Nothobranchius furzeri: one gene and its partners. The main gene of each other region encodes a partner of the protein of the gene in region 2 in a complex. Links are inferred from orthologs where the notes say so. Each region holds a gene or a part of one and is shown on either strand. Other genes may lie near its edges.

The links.
Region 1: the proteins of kras (region 2) and rgl2 are in contact, whole or in part, in a crystal structure (PDB 8B69), measured with the Homo sapiens proteins. The link is inferred for Nothobranchius furzeri from reciprocal best matches to the Homo sapiens genes KRAS and RGL2. Residues at the interface, in NP_001356715.1 of Homo sapiens: Ile24, Gln25, His27, Val29, Glu31, Asp33, Pro34, Thr35, Ile36, Glu37, Asp38, Ser39, Tyr40, Arg41, Lys42, Tyr64; in NP_004752.1 of Homo sapiens: Ile651, Arg653, Glu660, Asp661, Gly662, Ser663, Val664, Tyr665, Lys666, Ser667, Ile668, Leu669, Lys685, Lys686, Asn688, Arg689.
Region 3: the proteins of kras (region 2) and rgl1 are in contact, whole or in part, in a crystal structure (PDB 7SCX), measured with the Homo sapiens proteins. The link is inferred for Nothobranchius furzeri from reciprocal best matches to the Homo sapiens genes KRAS and RGL1. Residues at the interface, in NP_001356715.1 of Homo sapiens: Ile24, Gln25, Glu31, Asp33, Pro34, Thr35, Ile36, Glu37, Asp38, Ser39, Tyr40, Arg41, Leu56, Tyr64, Met67; in NP_001284600.1 of Homo sapiens: Ile651, Arg653, Asn660, Gly661, Asn662, Met663, Tyr664, Lys665, Ser666, Ile667, Met668, Lys685, Asn687.

The regions. Positions count from the first base shown.
Region 1 is NC_091745.1:62,343,260-62,350,359, reverse strand, and holds part of rgl2 (ral guanine nucleotide dissociation stimulator-like 2), read right to left. Parts: intron 5,253-7,100; exon of another isoform or gene 5,090-5,252; coding exon of another isoform or gene 4,988-5,089; intron 1,923-4,987; coding exon 1,875-1,922; intron 1,603-1,874; coding exon 1,519-1,602; intron 1,444-1,518; coding exon 1,277-1,443; intron 1-1,276. UniProt on the Homo sapiens protein: Probable guanine nucleotide exchange factor. Putative effector of Ras and/or Rap. Associates with the GTP-bound form of Rap 1A and H-Ras in vitro.
Region 2 is NC_091744.1:73,812,824-73,820,597, reverse strand, and holds the start of kras (GTPase KRas), read right to left. Parts: upstream 4,372-7,774; 5' UTR 4,116-4,371; intron 1,866-4,115; 5' UTR 1,859-1,865; coding exon 1,748-1,858; intron 15-1,747; coding exon 1-14. UniProt on the Homo sapiens protein: Ras proteins bind GDP/GTP and possess intrinsic GTPase activity. Plays an important role in the regulation of cell proliferation.
Region 3 is NC_091748.1:53,018,372-53,025,471, reverse strand, and holds part of rgl1 (ral guanine nucleotide dissociation stimulator-like 1), read right to left. Parts: intron 6,612-7,100; coding exon 6,421-6,611; intron 6,328-6,420; coding exon 6,203-6,327; intron 6,122-6,202; coding exon 5,906-6,121; intron 5,817-5,905; coding exon 5,713-5,816; intron 5,599-5,712; coding exon 5,514-5,598; intron 5,367-5,513; coding exon 5,277-5,366; intron 3,440-5,276; coding exon 3,353-3,439; intron 2,542-3,352; coding exon 2,509-2,541; intron 2,400-2,508; coding exon 2,278-2,399; intron 2,017-2,277; coding exon 1,927-2,016; intron 1,840-1,926; coding exon 1,644-1,839; intron 1-1,643. UniProt on the Homo sapiens protein: Probable guanine nucleotide exchange factor.

The DNA.
Region 1 (7,100 bases), on a different chromosome or scaffold from region 2:
TTTACAAGGCAATGATGCATCCGTTTTGGAGGGGAAAACACTGAAGACTAAATCTGTTCACCCAGTGAAAGTTCAAGTTAGGTGCATTAGTCAGGTACGCTAACATACGCTTTCGTGTTTGGTGCATGTGGCTCAATGCCAGAGCCTGTTGGAAAGTTCGAAACTTTCCAGCATAAACATCTCAGCAGATACACATTAATGGACGTAAGGACAGAAAATCATGCAAATATCCAGGCTCAATCCAACAATCTCACCAGTGAGCTTTGGTTTTAGGACCCTTAGCCCTGAATTCCAAATCACCATGGAAAGTGAGCTGGTGTTTTGTTAAATTTCAGTTAGTTTTTGTGATCTCTGTTACAGAAGCTGCTTTGCAAAAACGTCTTCAACACCAGAGATGGTTGGTGAATCAGTTTCTGGTGAGAATAAAAGTTCCTAGACACATTACGAGGAAGTGCAAAGCTAAACCTGGAGGTGGTGATTACTCAGATCTGTGACTCAGTTCATTGCATAAAAAACACTCTCAAATTAATCAAAATCAGTGGTTTTAGTCTTGACATTTTCAGGACCTTCCAGAATGAACCATTTCAAGGCTCTGTCACTTTAAGAAAGCAAGCCAGATTTGGCCACGCCCACCTCTCCTCAGCTCAGGCTGCTATAAATGGAGAAGCTCCAACATCTGGGAGGGACTCAAAGTAGAGTCGCTGTTTCCCCAGCAGCTATCTCTTTTGTATGTGAGAAGTGGTTTTATTCAAATTTTTTTATTTGTGATGTCACAAACTGGGGCTTTTAGAAACGGCTTGTTTTAGGCACATAATTCGTAAACCAAACACTGACAAAAAAAAACAGATGGTAATGTTTGGAGTGTTTATGGAGGCAGTAGAGACCCACATGGAAGCACAAAATTATTTATAAGGTTAGTTTTGGAAAATGTCACTTTTAGCTAAAATGTGATGTTTTAGCTGAGTTAATGTTTTGTCCTACCAATATCTTCCTTATTTTATTTTTCCTCACATGACACGAGTCCTCCATGGTCACGCTATCAATACTGGTTATTCAAAAGTTCAAAGCCAAAGAATAAATGAAAGGAAACATTAGCAATCAAACAGCTGAGCTCAAGCAAACGACCCTCCATTTATCTTATTTACTTGCAACTTCCATAAGTTGCTCTAAAATCTGCTGAATTAATCTGTTTTTCTATTCTTTTGAGTCCAGTTGCAATTCCACTGCAACAGGAAGTGCTTTACGAGCTGTTCATGCCCTGAAAACCAGAACACACCTGTCAGTGAGGATGTCCAAGACTCTCTCATTGGAGGTGAAGGACCGGTAGGTGGAGAGGAAGATGGAGACGAAGGACGAGTCTCCCATAGCGAAGGAGTGGAGGAGGTGCAGCACCAGCTTCTCCTCTGTTCCTGCTTTTACGCACTGGGAACGAGAAACGGTCGACTGGAACAGAAGGAGAAGGACGTGTTTCAGCCTCTGTTGGTCTCCTGAAACGGACCTAGGCATGAGGTAACTCACCATGGAACTGTTGGGAGAAACATGCTGCTGTTTGACCACAACCGTGTAGATCACTCCATCCTCCTCCTCCTCCACCACCGTGGACTGAAAAGCAACGAAACAACTAAAAAAAAACCCCTAAAAAAACACCTCATCATCAGCTGCTCAGGACAGAAGGCCCCCCCCCCCCCCACACACACACACACCACGTGTAAATAAAACAACACAGGCCTCTCTGAACTCATTTCCTTTGTGCTACATGTAGTTCAAACGATCCCGCTTTAGCCTCAGGAAATGTCCCTGACACAGTTACCCCATTCTGGTGCACGACTAATTCACCATGCACGTTACTGAGTGCAAAACCCAACCCTCCTTACCAAATCCAGAGGACAGTACCAGGTCGTCTTCATCGGTGAGGGATCTGCCTGTGAAGGAGACACATACAACAAATTTAGAGAATAAAATAATACAGAATAATCAAGATAGGAGCACAACTTATCTTTTAATCACAGTCTGAAGTAAAAACTGAGTGTGTTTGTACAATTCCCTAAAATAAACTTTACTTTGACCAACACAAAAACGTTTCTGTCTTTTTCCGTCGTTTACAGGAGCTGCAGTCTGTTCACCTGAACACAATCACATTTTCATCCTTTTAACATGTTTTAGATTTAAAGAAAACTCTTTTCTGCTTTTGCTAACCATATAAACACGTATAAAACACCCCCAACCCAAAAATTGGCTCATGCTTCAGCCTGCAGAGGACATCTTTGATCAGCTACAGTCCATTATGATCCATAACACAGAGATTTGTCTTTGCAGGACCAAAGTCTGGTCTCATCATCGTTCCTTCAGCTGCATCTCAGACAGAAATGAGTCATTTGCAGAGGAAACAGAAAGTGTGATGCATGCTGCAGCTCTCCACAGACATTTGAATGGAGATAAGAGACGGATGACCTGCAGCCCAAGTCACAAGGGCCGTACTTTTATCTGAGAGCTACAGCTATGAGGAACCTCACAGATAAATAAATACACTTCCACAAACATTAAAGCATGAATTTAGGCACAGGAAATCTGATAATCCAACTGTTGCTATGGTTTGACCTTCATCAGTGGAAGTTAGGGAGCTGAATCCGAGGCTGTCAGAAGCTTTAATCATCACCCCCTGCCAAAAACGGCAGATTATGACGTAACTCTCAAAAAGTAATAATTGGATGTTGACCTGCAGCCAGTAAGGTTTTGGTGTGAACCCCAGTTAAGATGGCTGATCTAGTTAATCAAACTCAACAAACAAAATAACAATTATTACAGAAGGTTTGATGTTTTTGTCACCTTTACACTCCTCTACAACACAAATTCAGAGTGTATCGGCCTGAGATCATTTTAATCTAAAATTCTGACATGATCAGTGGTTGCTGGTATGTAACCCAAAATAATCCTGGGCCACTAATTTAAACAGCTTCTAAAAACAAAACAAAAAAATCTAAATTTAACCTTATTTGAACTGAAATAAAAGAATGTGTCTACCTTGGTTTCCTGTTCAGAAAGAAACTTTCCAACAAATAATGTGCCTAAAACAGGCAACCGTCCATCAATTATTTTCCTCTTATCCAGCCCAAGCAGGAAGGCCAAGACTTCCCTCTCCCCAGCCACTTGGGCCAGCTCCTCTGGGGAAGACCCAAGGCATTCCCTGGCCAGCCGAGAGACATAGTCCCTCCAGCGTGTCCTGGATCTTCCTTTAGACCTTCTCCCGGTTGGACGTGCCAGGAAAACCTCACCAGGGAGGCATCAAGGAGGCATCCTGACCAGATGCCTCAGCCACCTAAACTGGCTCCTCTCAAAGTGGAGGAGTAGCAGGTCTACTCCGAGCCCCTCATGGATGGCCGAGCTTCTCACCCTGTCTCTAAGGGAGAGCCCAGCCACCCTGCGGAGAAAACCCATTTCGGCAGCTTGTATCCGCAATCTCGTTCTTTCTGTCATAACCCAAAGCTCGTGACCATAGGTGAGGGTGGGAACTTAGATCAAACAGTAAATGAAGAACTTTGCCTTCCAGCTCAGCTCTCTCTTCACCACGACAGACCGGTACAACGCCCGCATCACTGCAGATACAGCACCAATCAGCTTATCAATCTCCCGATCCAGCTTTCCTTCACTCGTGTATAAGACCCAGAGATACCTAAACTTCTCCACTTGAGGCAGGACCTCGTCCCTGACCTGGAGAAGACATTCTACCCTTTTCAGATTCAAGACCATGGTGTCAGATTTGGAGGAGCTGTTTCTCATCTCAGCCGCTTCACACTCAGCTGATACCGCTCCAGCAAAAGCCGGAGATCACATTCTGATGAAGCCAACAGGACCACATCATCTGCAAAAAGCAGAGACCTGGTGCTCAGGCCACCAAAACAGATCCCATCACCACTTTGGCAGCTCCTAGAAATCCTGTCCATAAAAGTTATGAACAGAATCTGTGACAAAGGGCAGCCTTGGCGGAGTCCACCTCTCACTGGAAATGAGCTCGACTTACTGCCGGCGATGCAGACCAAGCTCTGACACCGGTCATACAGGGACCCAACGGCCCATATCAGAGGGCCTGGTACCCCATACTCCCAAAGTACCCCCCACAGGGCCCCCCAAGGGAACACATGTAGATTCTGATGTTTGACAATCCAACTGACCCTCCTCTCCAGAACCCCCTAATAGTCCTTACCAGGGAGGCTCAGCCCGATCCACTTAAATCAAACACATAAAAATATTCAGTAATGAATTCTTCATTTATACAGTGAGAAGTAACCTGCTTTGTTTTGTTTTTTCAAAAATTAAACTCCTGAATCTTTAGGAACACTTCATCCGTGATCTTTACCTCAAGGATTTCAGAATAAAAGATCTTGAAGATGACAGTTGGTGCTGCGATGGGTGGGGCTGCTCTTGTGTTTACATTTCATTCAAGTCTCGCATTACTTTACATCTATTGCTTTTCCACACTTTAAAACCTACATGTCAAACTCGTGAGCACAATCTGCTGTTCTCACAATGACTCCTTATGACACAACTGGTTTCACCTCCATAACACAATAGTCACACCTTAGACACACTCATTAAAAACACTACTAAAACCCATAATTTCCGCTTTTGGTTCATCCAGAAAATAATGTTATTTTACTTATTGCTGCAAGTGGCCGTTACAAATGTGTGTTCTAAGATGCAGACTGAGTTATAACAGATGGTTAAAGCGGCACAAGCGCCTGCCAAGCTACAGTAATGGTGCCATTATTAGTAATGAGACCATTTTAGCTTCCATTAGCCTCTTTATATTACCTTGACTTGTTCTTTTTGAAGGTCAGAGCTCCAAACAAAACCTCCTGCATTCAAACGGTCCTAAAGCACGAGCACCAAACCTGTTACTCAACCTGCTCTCTGTGTTGGAGGCAAATCTGCCTCAACGTCCTTCTTTCCCACGAAATCTGTTCACAGGCAGACAAAGTAACCAAGTTACCTGCTCCAAGGCAAGTCCTGACAGGTAGCGATCCCTGAGCTTCCTGGAAACCTTCAGGATAAAACCACAGACATTTTTCCTGTTTTCTCCTCCGCTTCTCATCTGGGGTTTATAGTTTTCCAGAGTTTCTCTAAATCCAGCGTCCGCTGACCCAGATCTGAGTTTTTTTGTCTGATGCGTGTCCCTCTCTATGACTCCAGGCTTTGATTCACACACACACACACACACACACTCAAACACACACACGCACCTGAAGCAGAACCCAAGTCCAGCCCCCACAAGACTGCATCATGTGGACACACCCATTACACACACACACTCACCAAACTGAGATAAGAATACGTCGATTCCTGTTTACCGTCCCTCACGAGTTTTATGCACACAAAGGCCTTCATCAGTGAACTCATATATAAGCAACACACACATACACACACACACACACACACACACACACACACACACACACACACACACACACACACACACACACACACACACACACACACACAGAGCCCGGAAGCTATTCCCAGTACAATACACCCTCTCATTATTTCTCCCCTCCACTCTTCTGCCCTCTTTCTCGTTCCGATGACCTTCCTATGCAGATAAACCAGTTTGTCTGTTTCCGCTTTAATTCAACACAACCTCTAACAGGCTAGCGGACCTCAGGCCTCACGCTAGTTTTGTTTGAAAACCCAAGCTGTTGTTTGAGCAGTAAGAGGAGTAAACGCTTAACGAGAGGATATAAATGTTCAGATGTACCAGGAAGTAAAAATGGTGTTTGTTTAAACTGGCAACAGCGTTACAGAGTGGAGTCAGCTTCATACAGAGAGTCATTCACTTGATTGTATTGCTAACAAATATAGCCTTTGTTATTTAGAATATTTTACCAAAAAGCAATAAAACTCCATTCGATTTTTTTGTTAAACGGAAAGAGAGTTGATAAAATGCATTCCAACTAGGAAACATTTTTCATTTAAAAGCTGAAAACTTTTAAAATTGTTAGCTCAACTGCTTGTTAGATCGTTATTTAGCTCCTACATCAAATAAAAAAAATCAAGATGTTTGAATAAGTGCTGAAACATTATTACCTTATATTATTATTATTATTATTATTATTATTATTAGTAGTAGTAGTAGTAGTTGTTGTTGTTGTAGTAGTATTACCAGGACACATATGATGACTTTAAAAAAGTTATAATAGTTCTATTGATTCCTATACTTCAAACTTTATTAAAGACAAAGCAGTTTGTTAGATCAAAACTGATATTGTCATTATTGAACTAATATTAATGTCTTGACTGTTAAGCATCTGGTGTCTTATTAAACGTAGCTTCATCCTTTTCATCCTGTTGATAGATACCAGGCTCCAGTAGGTCTTACAGGGAGGAGTAGGTTTTACGAGGAGGATGACCTTGCCTTGGGACCGACCTTTATCAGTAAAACTCCCTTGAGAATGTCTAGCAATAGTTTTGTTTGATTTAGGGTGCACCTGGGGAAAGTTCAGACTCCCTTTTACAGCTTTCCCGCCTCAGAGTCTAAGGAATGTCAAAATGTGTGTGCGTTAATCTTTGTGTGTGCTTAATAAAAGTTTTTGGAAGGCATCAGTCTGATGAGAGTGAACTGCAACCCTTGTCTGGTGTGTATCTTTTCTCTCCACTTTGCAAAGTCTAAATTGATTGTTTAAGATTGGTATTGGTGTTGATCGATTGATTACTATAACCCCCTGTGCTTTAAACTTTCCCTAAGGTAATCTTGGATTGATAAAATTACCCAACACAGTTGTCCATACTCTAAAATGCCAAAGATGAAATAATAAATAGAAGTAAAATGCCCATAAAAATTTCAGTTACATTTCCCATCACACACCATATAAGCAGTTGTTCCAATATTTAAAAAAAGCCAGAGGAATACTTTCCTGTCACTTTAAGAAAACAAGCTGTTGCTGGCCACACCCACACACTCCCTGACTGGCTGCTAAAAGCTCTGACATCTAGGAGTTCGTGCTCTTCCACCCAGGGAGGTGGCTATGCTAATGTCCCTGTTTGTGGGACTTTTTGAAACAGCAGATTTCTGACACAAAATACTAACAGAAAACAAACGGACAGTTCTT
Region 2 (7,774 bases):
TTTCTGTAGGAATCCTGGGATCGTAAAGAGCAAAAAATAAATAAATAAACTACCAAAATCTACAAAAGTCTGTCGAATAGGGATGTAAGAAAATATTGGTTGATATTGATAACAACTGCCTAATATTATTGCTTTTGATGTTTTTCTAATGATTAGATTTTATGATATATTATATATTAAACAATACTGTGAATAATGTGCTGAACCTTGACTGGAAGAAAATTATAACTGAACTGAAATCTCAATTTCTCAGATAGAAATCACAATTCAACCTTTATCTTAAAATCATACAGTTCTAGCACCTACACTCATAACTTTGAAGAGTAGTTAAGCTTCTGTTTTGGGTTGCTAACTGATACAAGCTAGGGTCCAAATACCAATACTCACACTGCGCCCTACGGTCTTCAGCAAAGTGCACTTGGTAGAAGTGCGCAGTAAGGTTTTGCGTGTGTGGTAAACAAGTGAGCAATTGCCGAATTGGGAAAGTGAACATTGCGTCATCGACCACAACGCATCAAGGTCGTTGACTGTACTACTTTAAAAATAATCTTTATTAACCACTTTCAAACAAACACACCTTAATCTAACAGCTGAAACGCCTCCCAGCCTTCCTTAGTGTCTAGAGTGCTGATTCATCACTAAATTAAACAAATCAGCTGTGTTAATACAGGAAATGTGACAGACGCAGACTGCAGCGCCAGGTATGCACGCCCATTTTTTCCAACAGACCAGACCGGCAACTGTGAAGCTGCAAGTGGGATATTCTGGCCACAGGGGGCGCTAGGCCTTTCATTAACCCTGGAAAGGGTCATTTTAGCACATACTGGCTCAAGAAAATGATTTAAAAATATGAAAAAGTTGCTAAGTATCTCTTTTAAAATGCTTTAGAGAAAACTACCGTTACTGCAGCCCAAAAGTAATTCAGCTGACTAAAATGTCAGGAAGTGTCAAAATTGGGATTTGTGGCATAAACTGTTAAATTCATCTTTTAACATTACTAATATAATCTGGTTTTAACATCAAAGGTCATCTTATCATCTCCCCTTTTCAGTGATATATATCATATCGCCAGATTCTGGCCAATACACCAAGGAGGTTTTTAAAAAACAACAACAGGACTTACAGTGTTAGCCATGCTTCACTTATATGCTAGATTTTTACTCCTGGCCTGGGTATGATCTCACTGACCTTTTTTAATTCGTGAAAAACATGATACACATTTTTAATTGCTCAGCCCCGACTGTGTTAATGTCTCTGATGACATGTTTACATAAAAGATGCCACGGGACGCAGCTTCATTATCGCCCCTTTCTAGTTGTAGCGGGGCACTCTGCTTTCTAGAAGAGTTCAAATTACAGAGAGGTTTCTGTCAAAGCCCTTTTTCCATCACGCAGATGGCTGCCATCAATTGGATCCAACAGGAATAATTACAGACGAATCCAATGAGCTGCCATACTTTCAGATGCTATCTGGTGTCTGGGTAATTCATGGTAGAGCGCTAACCTGCCACAGCGTTTCAATAATTGATTGAAATCATGATGAGATTGTTCACACTGCATGTGGCTGGCACTGAGGAGCTTGGCCAGGAGCCAAGCATGAAAAGTCATTAAAAACCTGTTTGGTGTCTTTTTAAAACCCAAAACCAGTAAAGCCAGTTACAAGCTTTTAAAAAGAGTTTCTCATTATTTTTGCATCCCTGCTTCCTGACATGGAAGTGCAGTTAACAAGAACACACATTTATGTTTACCTCAATGGTGGGGTCGTATTCGTCCACAAAGTGGTTCTGGATGAGCTGGATAGTTAGCGCGCTCTTGCCCACACCACCAGCTCCCACTACAACCAGCTTATATTCTGTCATGTTTCACCTGCCGGACAAAATAAAGAATATTTGTCTCATTTGTACTCAAATGTTACAGCATTAACTCATTACAGTGTTCCTACATCTCTCCTCAAGTCAAATTTGGTCAACCATAGAGATTTCCCCGTACGTTCTTGTAGTGATTAAGTAATACAATTTATTTTAACTGTGCTAAACTTCCTCTTCGTATAAAATCAACGTTCATCTGAAGAACAGCAGTTACGCTCCGCTTTTATCACTGACAATGAGCGAAGAGGTAAATGTGTAAAACAACGTTTATGAATGGTGAAAGTTTTGTAACCGTTTGTTACAAATCAGTAAATGCATTTTGTCCTCACGGGCTCCCGTAGAAGGAAACATGGCATCGCCCAGAGCTTTAGACCCGCTCCCATGTATTTTAGACCCGATTTTTATTGTTATATGTTACAAAGCCGCCAATATTTTTCAACAACTCTGCATCATTTAATTAATTTTAAATAGCATTTTGATGGATATTTCCAGAGATTAATGGTAAAACTATACATGATCTCTTTCAATAATCATAAAAAGCTCTAAATTCTACATAAAAAGGGTTATTTTCAAGGGTTCCCCTCCAGCAGAATCTCTGATCCTGTTCCTGTCTGTTATTTTTGTCTGATAAACTGAAATCTGTGTGCTCCGGCCTGGCAGAAAAACATTGCTGATTCACTGGAAATTTTGATTTTACACAGTTGAGTTTTATGAAAGGTTATTTTAGTAATCAACTACAGCGCTTGAGGGGAGAACAAACCGTGAAATCACAACAAATGATCATTAATCAAACAGAGGTTAAGCTAAAATAAGGGAACACTTGTATTTTAATTAATCTGATTTCAGAAAACCATCAACTAAATGATAAAAAACCTATTTTTCTACACAAACTAAATTTGTATAATTACTGATCATTCTGGGGGGAAATACCAGACTCAAGATGAGAAATAATTGAGTAGAGAGCTAAAAAAAAAGGATTAGGAGAAAAACTTTGCCCATGTGATCAAGTCTCGGAATAAAAGAGCACAATGTGATCAAGTCTCAGAATAAAAGAGCACAATGACTGTCCCCTCTACAACTAAAACTAACCACAGGCATAAATCCATAATATTACATTAAAGCTTCAAAATTGACAAGCGGCTGTGAAGCTCTGGTGTGTGACTTCTTTGTGGATCGATGGCTGCAGCTGGCCTTTTCAGAAGTTACAGCGCAAACTGATGAAAGTCTGCAGAGCTCAGACAATGAAAACAACAAATAAGTTTTGTTTTGTTCTTTTAACCAGCAAGTTACAGATTTATATTAATGCAAATGAAGTGATGTTTTTAGATATCAATCAGAAAATAAACGTGTGGGAAAATGTTCATCTAAAGCATATTTTCACCTTTCAGAAAGTCTTGTGCAAATGCAACTGAACAGGGGTGCAAAAAGCTGAGCACAGCCTCGTCTAAAAAGCAGCAGGTAAGTCGTATAAGTCGTAAAGTTCACTTTCACCGCCTGAAACTGCAGGAAATTTTTTATGGTGCGGCTTTGAAAAACTGAAAGTTTATTCCAGGCGTCTGTGCCAGCATGGTGGAGTGGTTTCTTTTCTTAATACATCAACAACATTGGAGAACATGGCTCAATAGCTCAGCGCAGCCCCGATTGGAGGGCTAATGCGGGGATTGATTAGCAGCCATATAAACAAAAATGCTACTTGGAAAACAGTTTGCTACCTGTGAGGAATCAGAGGAAGTTCTTTAGTGACTTCAAGAAGGCAGGAGCCCCTAGGGTGCGCATAAAAGTGGAAAGGAGTTTGATTTAAATCTTCTATCCTTAATAGTTTAGAAGAAAACGTCCTCGGTACTTCAGGCGACTTTGCTGATGTTAGCTAGCTTAGCATCGGAGATCGCTCATTCACACTTAATTACTGTTAAAAAATAAAGTCTTGCGCACTTTCCCGTTGTGTTTTATAATTAAAAAAAGGCTAGCCGATATTATTGTTCTGTCAGCTCAGTGTGTCTGAGCCGAGTCTGTCATCCATTCAAACGGGAAGAGAAGCCGCTATCGACAAGCTAGCTAAAGCTCTGCAATGTAGGGCCAGACGGTAGGTTAACTGGGCGTAGTTTAGCCAAAAACGAACATGTTTGACTACAGGGAGGCTGCCCAGTGTTTCAATAACGCATAATAACTTAGTTTTATTAGACAGTGAAATTCCGCAAAGGCTACATGCTAAAGTCTGCCATTAATGCGTCTTATGCGCTTGTTTTACCTTTTAGCGAGTGAAGTTCCGCGTCTGAAGTAGCGACCAAAGAAGTCAAGCAGATAATCCTCTCGCTTCACACGATCTCTGCATTTCCTACTTCTCACCAAAAAGCCCGCATTCGAGTCGGTCTAGCGTGGTTTCGGGAGCAACCGGGAGCATGCAGAGGGGGAAGGAAAATAAATAAAGTGGGCGAATTAATCGATTGAACTTTCCATCTGATCTGATGAGATCCAGCTTCCCCTCGGCCTAGCCGCTGCTGCTCAGTGTGGCCTGCTGCGTTACGCGAATATGGGCGGATACCAGGGCTTACTTTACCCAGAAACCATAGCTGTGGATTTCAACCGGCCTGGGTCAAATCACTCAAGCGTGTGTCGCAATACGATCCCGAAAATACGCTCGTTTCTTTTATTATTACCCATATGTTGATAAGATCCTCGTCATATCAAACTATGCCCATTCTCCAACTCCCATATCTCAAGTAAACCGGTGTTTTCTTTTTGTTGCATCTAAACTAAAACCAAACGGAATGTTTGTGCTTGCATTTTTATTAAAATCGGACAACACTGATAGGTTTCAGGTCACGTAGAGTGGGTTTCGTGTCCTCCAGCGAGACCCGCTGCTACCGCTGCAGCGCGCCGCAGAGTCAACAAAGCCTACGGGGCGACTCCACTATATATAGGCTCTAAATATAACTGGAATGTGCTGGAGGATGGACGTCATTCCCAAGCAAGGAAATGATTTGGCAATCCCCCGTCAGTTTTCCTACGTGCTCACTGGCGCTGCTGCTGCGCTGCACACATGCATAAATAAACAGTACGCTTGTAAAAAAGCGCAGACTTCTGATCCAGAGGGCACAAACGGCATTAAAGCGCCGAAATTGGATTTCTGTGTCAATAAAATCTGTTTTAAGCATTTAAGAAGGATCTTTGCAAACAAAAGGACCCAGCTGCTTAAACTGAGCCGCTCACAAAGACTAACCAGTAAAATTATAAAATTATATATTTTTTATGTATCTGAGGCAACTAAAAATGTTATAAGTTAGAATCAGGTCTAAATTTAGACTTATTTGGATTGATCAAGCTTTAGAAACCATGGCAGACAATGGTAAATGCATTATTATTATTTTGAATAAATTATCTTCCATCCTAAAAAATTACAGCATGAACATCTGTTTTGTTTTGGGGATTACAAGAAGGTGCTGCAAAGATGGGCTAGACCTGCTGAATAAAATTACCAACAGCTGCCTCTCCTCATTGGAGGGCATTTCCTCCAGCAGATGCACAATCAGAGCAAAGACAATGGAGGATCTCATTAGCACAGAACTGTTCACCCTCTTTCTTCAGACAGAAGGTTGGTCTTCCTCAACAAGACTAAAGAAATGATAAACGACCCACATTGTGTAGCACCTTTCAGAGTCAGAGGACTCCAAAGTGCTTTACTTTGGAAAAGATGTTTAAGTGGGGTCAAATTATTGGTATGCATCATGCAGAGAAAACATCTAAGGAGAAATGACTTAAGATTGGGTTAAGGACTTCCCAACACATTATTAATTGGTCTGATGAGTTCAGATGGACTCTGTTCCATGTGATGGGTGCATCAGGGTAAGAAGAGAGGCAGATGATGTGATGCACACAACATGCCTAGTGCCTACTGTACAAACCTGTGAGGGCAGTGCTATGATCTGTGGTTGCTGCAGTTGGTCAGGTCTAGGTTCAGCAACAGGATGTGCTCCAAGAATGAGGTCAGCTGACTACCTGAATATACTGAATGACCAGGTTATTCCATCTTCGCTGATGGCACTAGCATATTCCTAGATGATAATGTCAGGTTTCAATGTGAAAGAGTGGTTTAAGGAGCAGACATGATTTTCACACATGGATTGGCCACCACTGAGTCCAGACCTGAACCCCATTGAGACTCTTTGGGATGTATTGGAGAAGGCTTTGTGCAACAGTCAGACTCTAGATCTTGGTGAAATATTAATGCAACACTGGATGGAAATAAACCTGGTGGCATTGTAGAAGCTTATCAAAACAATGTCACAGCGAATGTGCTGTAATAAAAGCAAATTGAAATATTAGTGTGTGTGACCTTTTTCTTGTGATGGTGTTTTTTTCTGGCAGGCGGTGTAGCTTGTAGTTCTAAATGTAATGGATGTTGAATTTAGTTCTTAGTTTTGCTTTTGAACAAATGAAATGTATTCTTGTCACTGTTTTTAAAACAAACTTTGGATACTAACTAGTTGTATCCTTTAAAATGATCTACAGATCACCTTTAAACCAGTGCCTGATGGTTCAGTCAGGATCAGTCCCCGAGATAATAAAAGCCATAACTGATCAACTATGTAAAAGCCAAACTTTTCCAGGAGTTTCACCTGCTGTAATTATCTCATTTTATGATGGTTTGTTGCCTCCACTGAATTTGTTTTAATAACATCCAAAACAACACGTGTTGTTACAGACAGAGCCTGTCAAATACTTTTATATCAGGGCTTTAATTTCAATAAAAGTTTTACTTTCACATTAGTATATTTAGATTGTTTTGATTTTAGTTTGTGTCACAAACATTATCAGTTAGATCTGATGTTTATTTTGGGCCACACTGGAGTCATTAAATCATTTTTTATTGCATCTATAACACAAATGTAATTAAAGTATGTTTTACTTTAACCATAGTAATTTTTTTCAAAATAAAATACAATGCAGATCAGTTTCTATTTGATATGATGAATTGTTTTAGAAGGAGTTTTTATGTACAGCCCACATATCAAACTACCAAAGCACTGACAGGCTGAAATCCATTTTAAATGTTATGTTTAATTTAATTTCCTGATGAATCTCCATCCATCCATCCATCCATTTTCATACGCTTATACGGAGTCGGGTTGCGGGGGCAGTAGCGTAAGTCGAGAGGCCCAGACTTCCCACTCCCCGGCCACTTGAGCCAGCTCTCCCGGGGGAATCCCAAGGCATTCCCAGGTTACGTGAGAGACATAGTCTTTCCAACGTGTCCTGGGTCTCCTCTTCCCGGTTGGACGTGCCCGGAAAACCTCACCAGGGAGGCTTTCAGGAGGCATCCTGACCAGATGCCCGAGCCATCTCAAATGGCTCCTCTTGACGTGGAGGAGCAGCAAATCTACTCCGAGCCCCTCCCAGATGACTGAGCTTCTCACCGTTTCTCTAAAGGAGAGCCCAGCCATTCCGCGATCTCCTTCATTCGGTCACTACCCAAAGCTCATGACCATTGGTGAGGGTAGGAACGTAGATCGACCGGTAAATCGAGAGCTTCGCCTTCTGACTCAGCTCTCTCTTCACCACGACAGACCAGTACAACTCCCGCATCACTGCAGACGCAGCACCAATCCGCCTATCAATCTCGCGCTCCAGTTTTCCCTCACTCTTGAACAAGATCCAGAGATACTTAAACTCCTCCACTTGGGGCAGGACCTCATCCCTAACCCGGAGAAGCCATTCTAACCTTTTCCGAATCAAGACCATAGTCTCAGATTTAGAGGAGCTGATTCTCATCCCAGCTGCTTCACACTCAACTGCAAACTGCTCCAGCGAACGTTCCAATGAAGCCAGCAGGACCACATAATCTGCAATAAGCAGAGACCCGATCCTCAGGCCATCAAAGGATGCCCTCAACACCTTGGTTGCGCCTAG
Region 3 (7,100 bases), on a different chromosome or scaffold from region 2:
TTTTAAACTGTTGAATTTTTCACATAAAATGTTTAGCAGACAGATAAAACCATCTCTGTCTTTTCAGGCGTCAACCTTGAAATCAACTCTTGAAATAATTGTCTTTGTTAATGAGAGGTTTTGTTTTCTGGATGTTAGAGAAAATTTAACTGGTGTTTCTGATGAAAAGCCCCCAAAAATGCATATTTCTGCTTTCTACTGTGACTGAAGCCAAACGTTTCAAACAGAGAATATGTGTTACTTTGACATAGATTAGATAGTGTTGTTGTAAGTGTGAAATATTGTTTTTCAATTTTTTACCAACTTTTATGTTTTAAAGAGAGACTAGGCAGTTTTGGTTTGCTTTTAGTACCCCCTAGTGTTTGTTTAGTAGAACCAAAAGCAAAAGTTATCTTCTCACTGTGCGTTTGTCTTTTAAACACCTTAATTCATCCATCCATCCATTCTCTTCTGCTTATCTGGAGTTGGGTCACGGGGCTACAGAAGAAGCAGAGAGGCCCAGACTTCCCTCTTCCCGCCACTTGGGCTAGCTCTTCTGGAGGAATCCCAAGGCGTTCCCTGGCCAGGCGAGAGACATGGTCTCTCTATCATGTCCTGGGTCTCCCTCTAGGCCTCCTTCTGGTTGGACGTGTCTGGAAAACCTCACTAGGGAGGTGTCCAGGAGGCATCCTAATCAGATGCCTGAGCCACCTCAACTGGCTCCTCTTGATGTGGAGGAGCAGCGGGTCTACTCCGAGCCCCTCCCGGATGATCACCCTATCTCTGACAACATGCGGAGAAAACTAATTTCCGCCGTTTGTATCAACAATCTCGTACTTTCAGTTACTACCCAATGCTCGTGACCATAGGTGAGGGTAGGAATGTAGATCGACCAGTAAATTGAGAGCGTTGCCTTCTGGCTCAGCTCTGTCTTCACCACAACAGACCAGTACAACGCCCACATCACCGCAGATGCAGCACCAATCCACTTATAGATCTCGCGCTCCTCCACTTGGGGCAGGACCCAGGGGTGGACTGGCTCATCTGGCACTGTGCCGGTGCGCCGCTTAGCCAAGTGGGCCGCTTACCCAGCTTGGGCCATCAAGAGTCCGCGAGCAACAAATCCCCCAACCCCCCCCACCCCCCCCCAAATTCGACCCCCCTCCACCCCCACCCCACTCTGAGGGCCCACAGTTCATAAAAACGCCAGGGCCCAATTTTGGTCCCAGTCCACCCCTGGCAGGACCTCCTCCCTGACCCGGAGGAGGCATTCTACCTTTTTCTGACGCCTTAATCTAACAGCTGAAACATCTCCCAGTCTTCCTTAGTGTCTACAGGAGTGGTTCATCACAGAATTAAATAAACCAGCTGTGTTCACGATCGAAAACATGCAGGAAACATGCTGGAAGCAGATCGCAGCGCCAGGTATGTCGGCCCCATTTTTTTCAGCTTCCACACCAGCAACTCGGAAGTTGCAAACGTCATATTCTGGCCACAGAGGGCGGTGGGGGTCTGAGTGACGTTTTATTAACCCTGTAAAGGCTCATTTTAGCTCATACTGGCTTAAGAACGTGATTTAAAATTTTGAAAAAGTTGCCTAGTATCCCTTTAAGGGCTAAATTTATTGGAGATGTTGTATAAATGCTATAAAAACATAATTCTACCTTGTTTTGATGGGAGAGTTGTGAGTCAGATGTGTGTGTTGGTGTTGTGTGTCCCTCGCTGTCCGACGGGCTGCTGGAGTCACTGGAGGACACGCTGACAGAGTCCATGCTCTCCCCGGAGCTGCCAGTAGGGGGCGAGCGAGGCGTCTCTCTGACTGGGGAGCTGGCTGTGTTACTGTCTGTTCCAAGAAACAGCCTGGACGACAGAGGCAGGGAGATACACGTTAGTGGAAGAACTTTAATGTTGCATCGATCGCTCATCTGTTTTTCTGAGGGAACTCACAGGCTGAGTCTCTTCACCATGCTCTTACGAGTTTTGAGTAAAGTCGGGCTGCTGTCGCCGAGGCCTTCAATCTCACAAGACATGGCATAGCTGCAAAGCAGAGTAGTAACGGTGAACCCTCAACATAATTTAAAAAGTCACTACCACATCATGTGCGTGGGGATTTTTATGAACTGGATTAGCAGTAGTCAGAGAAGGCAAACAAATACAAGCACAACGGGCCAGTGGGGAGTTGAGGTGTGATGAGGGGAAGTAGTAAAAACTGAGGGAAAGAAGCTGCAGCAATTTTCTTAATGGTGAAGAGAAGGAAAAAGAGAAGGCATCCAGAGTAAAAGCAAACAGGAGCAGTACCTCTCCTCCTCGCTGAGTTGAAGCTGGCTCTTAAACCAGCGGAGGAAAGCCGTGTCTGGAGTCAGGCAGTAGCTGTTACAGGCTGACTGGAGCAGCTTAATCTGAGCTATGACCTCAAACTCCTGCAGAGACCAGAGAAAAGCAGCACACGGGCTTAAAACATCAAACTCGTTACTTTAGCACCGCCTCTCAATCATTGTCAGGGCTTATGGTGTCAGAGGAAACCCTCACCCTGCGTCTCTTCTCAAAGTTGATCAGGCCACCCTGCAGAAGATGAAAAGAAACACGCCGTCAGAGCTGGGACCCCCATACCAACAGCTGCTTAAGCAAAGTCCATCATTTGGTTCTTTTTGGCACACAGAGTAATAAAGATTTGTTTTTTGACATTTTTTGATAAACACAGAACGAACCAGGGATATGTATTTTTGAAATTCTGGCGATACGATACACATCACGATACAGGGGAGACGATACGATAAATCACGATATGTTGCGATACATTCAGTCAGACGTTACAAACAATTTATTTTACTGAATTTATTGTAAGAATGTTCAGTAAACAGTCCAAACTGATACGTAACATGTTTAACATGAGGTATCTGAACCATGAGGGAGGGATTTACATTTCAATGGTGGAAACAAAACTCGTTGCACACTGCTGCCAACTAGCGGGTGGTGATTGAATTGCACAAAACGAAAAGAAAATACACAAATGTTTGCATGTAAATTCTTTCAAGAATTAGATACACAGCTTTTGAATATCAATGTATTAATTACAGGGAAAAAATCACGATATATTGCCATATCGATATTTCCGATACACGGCTTTTGAATATCGATATAATATTGCTGGAAAAAATATCACGATATATTGTCATATCGATATTTTCTTACATCCCTAGAAAGAACGTACCAAATGAAGCTGCCTAAGCAAACAGAAGGTGGCCCACCCCAAAACAAACCAACAGAAATCCTCTTTCATTAATGGAAACTTCAGGTCTGCAGAGCTCCTTCAACCTACAGACATATGCTCTCCTATCCCACACAACACAGACAGCAGGTGATTTATTTTTACCTCCACTAGGTCTGGCAGGGCTGTGTCCATCATGGTCAGATCGGTTAGAAAAGTCCCCAAGTATGGTATTGTTCCCTGCATCGCTCCCTGTGGGGAAAAGTCCTTTTGATTAACAAAGTAATCTGACATCCCTGAAGCATGCTCAAGAGGAAACGGTTTAGGCTCACATATCTCCTAAAAGGGGAGGTTTGTTTTTACCCTTTTTTTGCAGACAGGTTTCGGCTAACGCTGTAGCCTTTCTCAGAGTGTTTGTCAAAACTTGTCAGCCAAAAAAAAAGAAGGTAAAAACAAATCTTCCGCTACGCTGTGTTTAAAAAAGAATTAAAATAATGGAAGGATTACACAGAGCGAACATACAAGAGCCCCCAAAGGAGAGGGGGGGGGGGGGGGGGGGGGGATTGGCCCCCAAGCTATGTATGTTTCTTATCAAAAATAATGACACAGACACCTCGATGAGCAGGCCTATTTGATCACTTTGGTCTTTAGGTAAACATTGTAGTACTTGTTGGGACACAGCAATCAATTTCCCTCGGGGATTAATAAAGTATTTTTGAAGGTAGATATTAGTACATGTGTTATTGATGAAGCGTAAATGTACATGGAACATTGAAAATGTTGTGTTCTAGGTGGCAGCAGAGCACTACTAACATATATAGAGGTGTAGTGTAGAGTTCAGGGGAAGCGCTGCTGACGATACAGGATGATTGGTGTGTATATACACATCCTTACTGCTGTAACAAAGGTCATATGGATTAGGTCGGGTTTTGAGTAAAGGGGCGACGGTGGCACAGGAGTTAAGTGCTCGCCTCGCAATCGGAAGGTCGCAGGTTCGAGACCCGCTCAGTCTGTCGCTGTCGTTGTGTCCTTGGGCAAGACACTTAACCCACGTTGCCTGCTGGTGGTGGTCGGAGGGACCGGTAGCGCCAGTGCTCGGCAGCCTCGCCTCTGTCAGTGCGCCCCAGGGCAGCTGTGGCTACATTGTAGCTCATCCCCACCAGTGTGTGAATGTGTGTGTGAATGACTGATTGTGTTGTAAAGCGCCTTGAGGGGTTCCAGGACTCTAGAAGGCGCTATATCAAATACAGGCCATTTAGGTTACTTCCTGCCTGCTTTCTCCCAACTTTCTTTTCTTCATGACGAGCGATTTGTCACGATTCAATTAATATGACCGTAACTAAGTGTGTAACTGAGGCTCACCATTTCTCCCCAAAAAATATAAAGATCCAAGAGGATATTGTTGTTAAACAGGAACATAAAGAGTTTTAAACATTTTAAAACAATGACATTTGAAATAACTGTATTCGTTGTTTGATATTTTGTCTTTTCCTCTGAAATGTTTGTGCTTCTCAAATTTGAGGTCAATGTGCTGGATGCACAGGTCTGTTGCTTTTTAATCAAAACCATTGAAGGAGCAATGCAAATGCACAGCAGGCTAGTCACTACTGGGACGAATTTGGTGTGCCATCCGAACCCCCCCCCCCCCCCCCCCCCCCCCCCCATCTCCCCTTGAACATTTTCTGGTAGCAGGTTTGTTTGTTTGTTTATTATTATTTGCTATGCTGGACCAGATTGAATGAGTTATAATGCCAGATATGAATTGAGATCCACCAGACACACAAAGTGATTAATACAACTTACAAATGCAAATCTACAACAAACCCTCTCATCTACAGCCAGAGCTGCTAGGACTCAATATTCCATATTCAATCATTTACTTTGTGGTCTTCACAGATGGTGACGCAGACTTGTAAATCAGACCTTCGGTTTAACATGAGAACAGTACACAGTGCACCGGGTAAACACAGATAAGCACATGGTTTCATTATCCTGGAGAAGCAAGAATTTCTCCTTACAGTGCACTGTTAGTGCAGAATGTGTCATCCACTTGTGCGTCTTGTATTTTTAACACTCGAATTAGCCTCACCATTTCCTTCTGCAGCTGGAGTCTCTTGTGGGTGCGTTTCTGGTGCTCCTTGGCACAGCTCTCCAGGCTGGCAAACTTTGAAGTACCTTCCTGGAAGGTGAACAAAATTAGCTTTTGTCCTCAAGATTCAATCCAGTGAGTGAAAAAATGCTCCTGGGGCTTGTGCACGGAGTGGTTAAGAGCCTCGGCAACACATGAATCTAATGAATGGGTTTGGACTGCAGTCGTAGGACTCACCCTCATGAGCAGCTCTCTGCTGGTAAGGTAGTTGTTGTGGTCAGAGAAAATGTCTGAGAGCTCCTCGAACGTCTGCATGCTGTCTCTGCGTGAGACACAGATTCATTTCAGAAGATGCAGCAGATACAATGTGCACGTGAATTAAGATGAACCCATATCCGCCTATGACAAATACACGTTTGAGAGACTGGAGGCTCACTTGTGCACGCATGCCCACACTCTCTTCAGCCTGTAGAGAGGATTGGACTGCAGCGCTGACACGATGGCTCGCAGAGATGAGAAGTTTTTGCGTATTCGACACTCCTGTTAAAGGAAAAAACAAACTAAGGCAGTCAGAACTCAACTCAGTGTGGCAGATTAGACCAGTCTGTGGCTGCGCGTCTCTCCCTGACCTGAGCGATGTCGATCCAGCGCTGGATGACCCGTGCCCTGACATGCGGTCTGAGCTGCCTGTGCTTCAGCACCGTGCTGACCACGCAGGCCGCCACGGCGTTGAACTGAGTGATGGTGGCCCGGATGGTGGGAGCGGTGTGCTTGTTGTCTTTCTTGTCCCTCTGAGACCAGATGGAGCCCAGGCAGTGGTGAGGTACAACCTTTTTAAACAGCAGCTGGAAGAAAAAAAAAGACTACATAAAAGCACTGACCCTCCTTTTTTTCTCTTTGCCTTCACCCGACCTCCCTCCACTCACCGCATCCATGTAGGTCAGCTGCTCGGCCACCAGGTCGGCCTCAAATGACAGGAAGTCATCCTGGACCTCGATCTCTACCTCTTCTTCTTCCCCAAGGCAGAAAGAGCCGTTGCCGTGGAAACCAGCTGAAAGCAGAGGAAATCAGATAAATGAGTTAGTAATGACTTTTAACTGATAAAATCCAAAACATATGTAAAGATGGGGTTTAGAAACAATACCATCGCTCTCGTCCATGCTGGCCTGACCCTGCAGCTGCTCCAGCAGACTCTCTGCCCGTCTGAGAGCCTCTGAACCAGGAAGAGCTTTGCGTAGGTAGTCCATCAGCCTGTGGAGGCTGGGGTAGTCTGGAGGCTCCTGGAAGTCTTCAGGACATTGATCCAACCAGGCACACAGAATAGAAGCCAAGGCACTGAGGGGACAGGTGTGATCAGTAAAACGCCTTAAAGTAACTTTCTTTAAAGGTGTGGTCCACGGAGTTTTTCATGCAGGCTGAACATGCAATAGCTTCTGATAGAAAATAGATAGTGAAATGCTAGGATTTGAAAATCCTTACAAATCTATGTCACACTGAGAATTTGCATTGATGGCCCTGCTCTTCTTGGCTCAAACCCGCCTACAGGAAGGCTCTTTTCATTTTTATTGCAGAGAGGAGAGAAAGCCGACACTGTCTTGATGATAGAGACTTTGCAACATGGCTGAATGCATTCGGTTAGCCAATCAGAAGTAAAGTGTGAGCACATCATTCTATACGTTTACATGCAGCCAATATCCGGGTTATGATCGGGTTAAGGTCGGCATTCGGGTTTCTGAGTTGATCAGAATAACCCGTTTACAAGCATAAATAGAAAGAGTTACCGCTAACTTGCATAACCCGATGTAAATGCGGACGTTGGGGTAG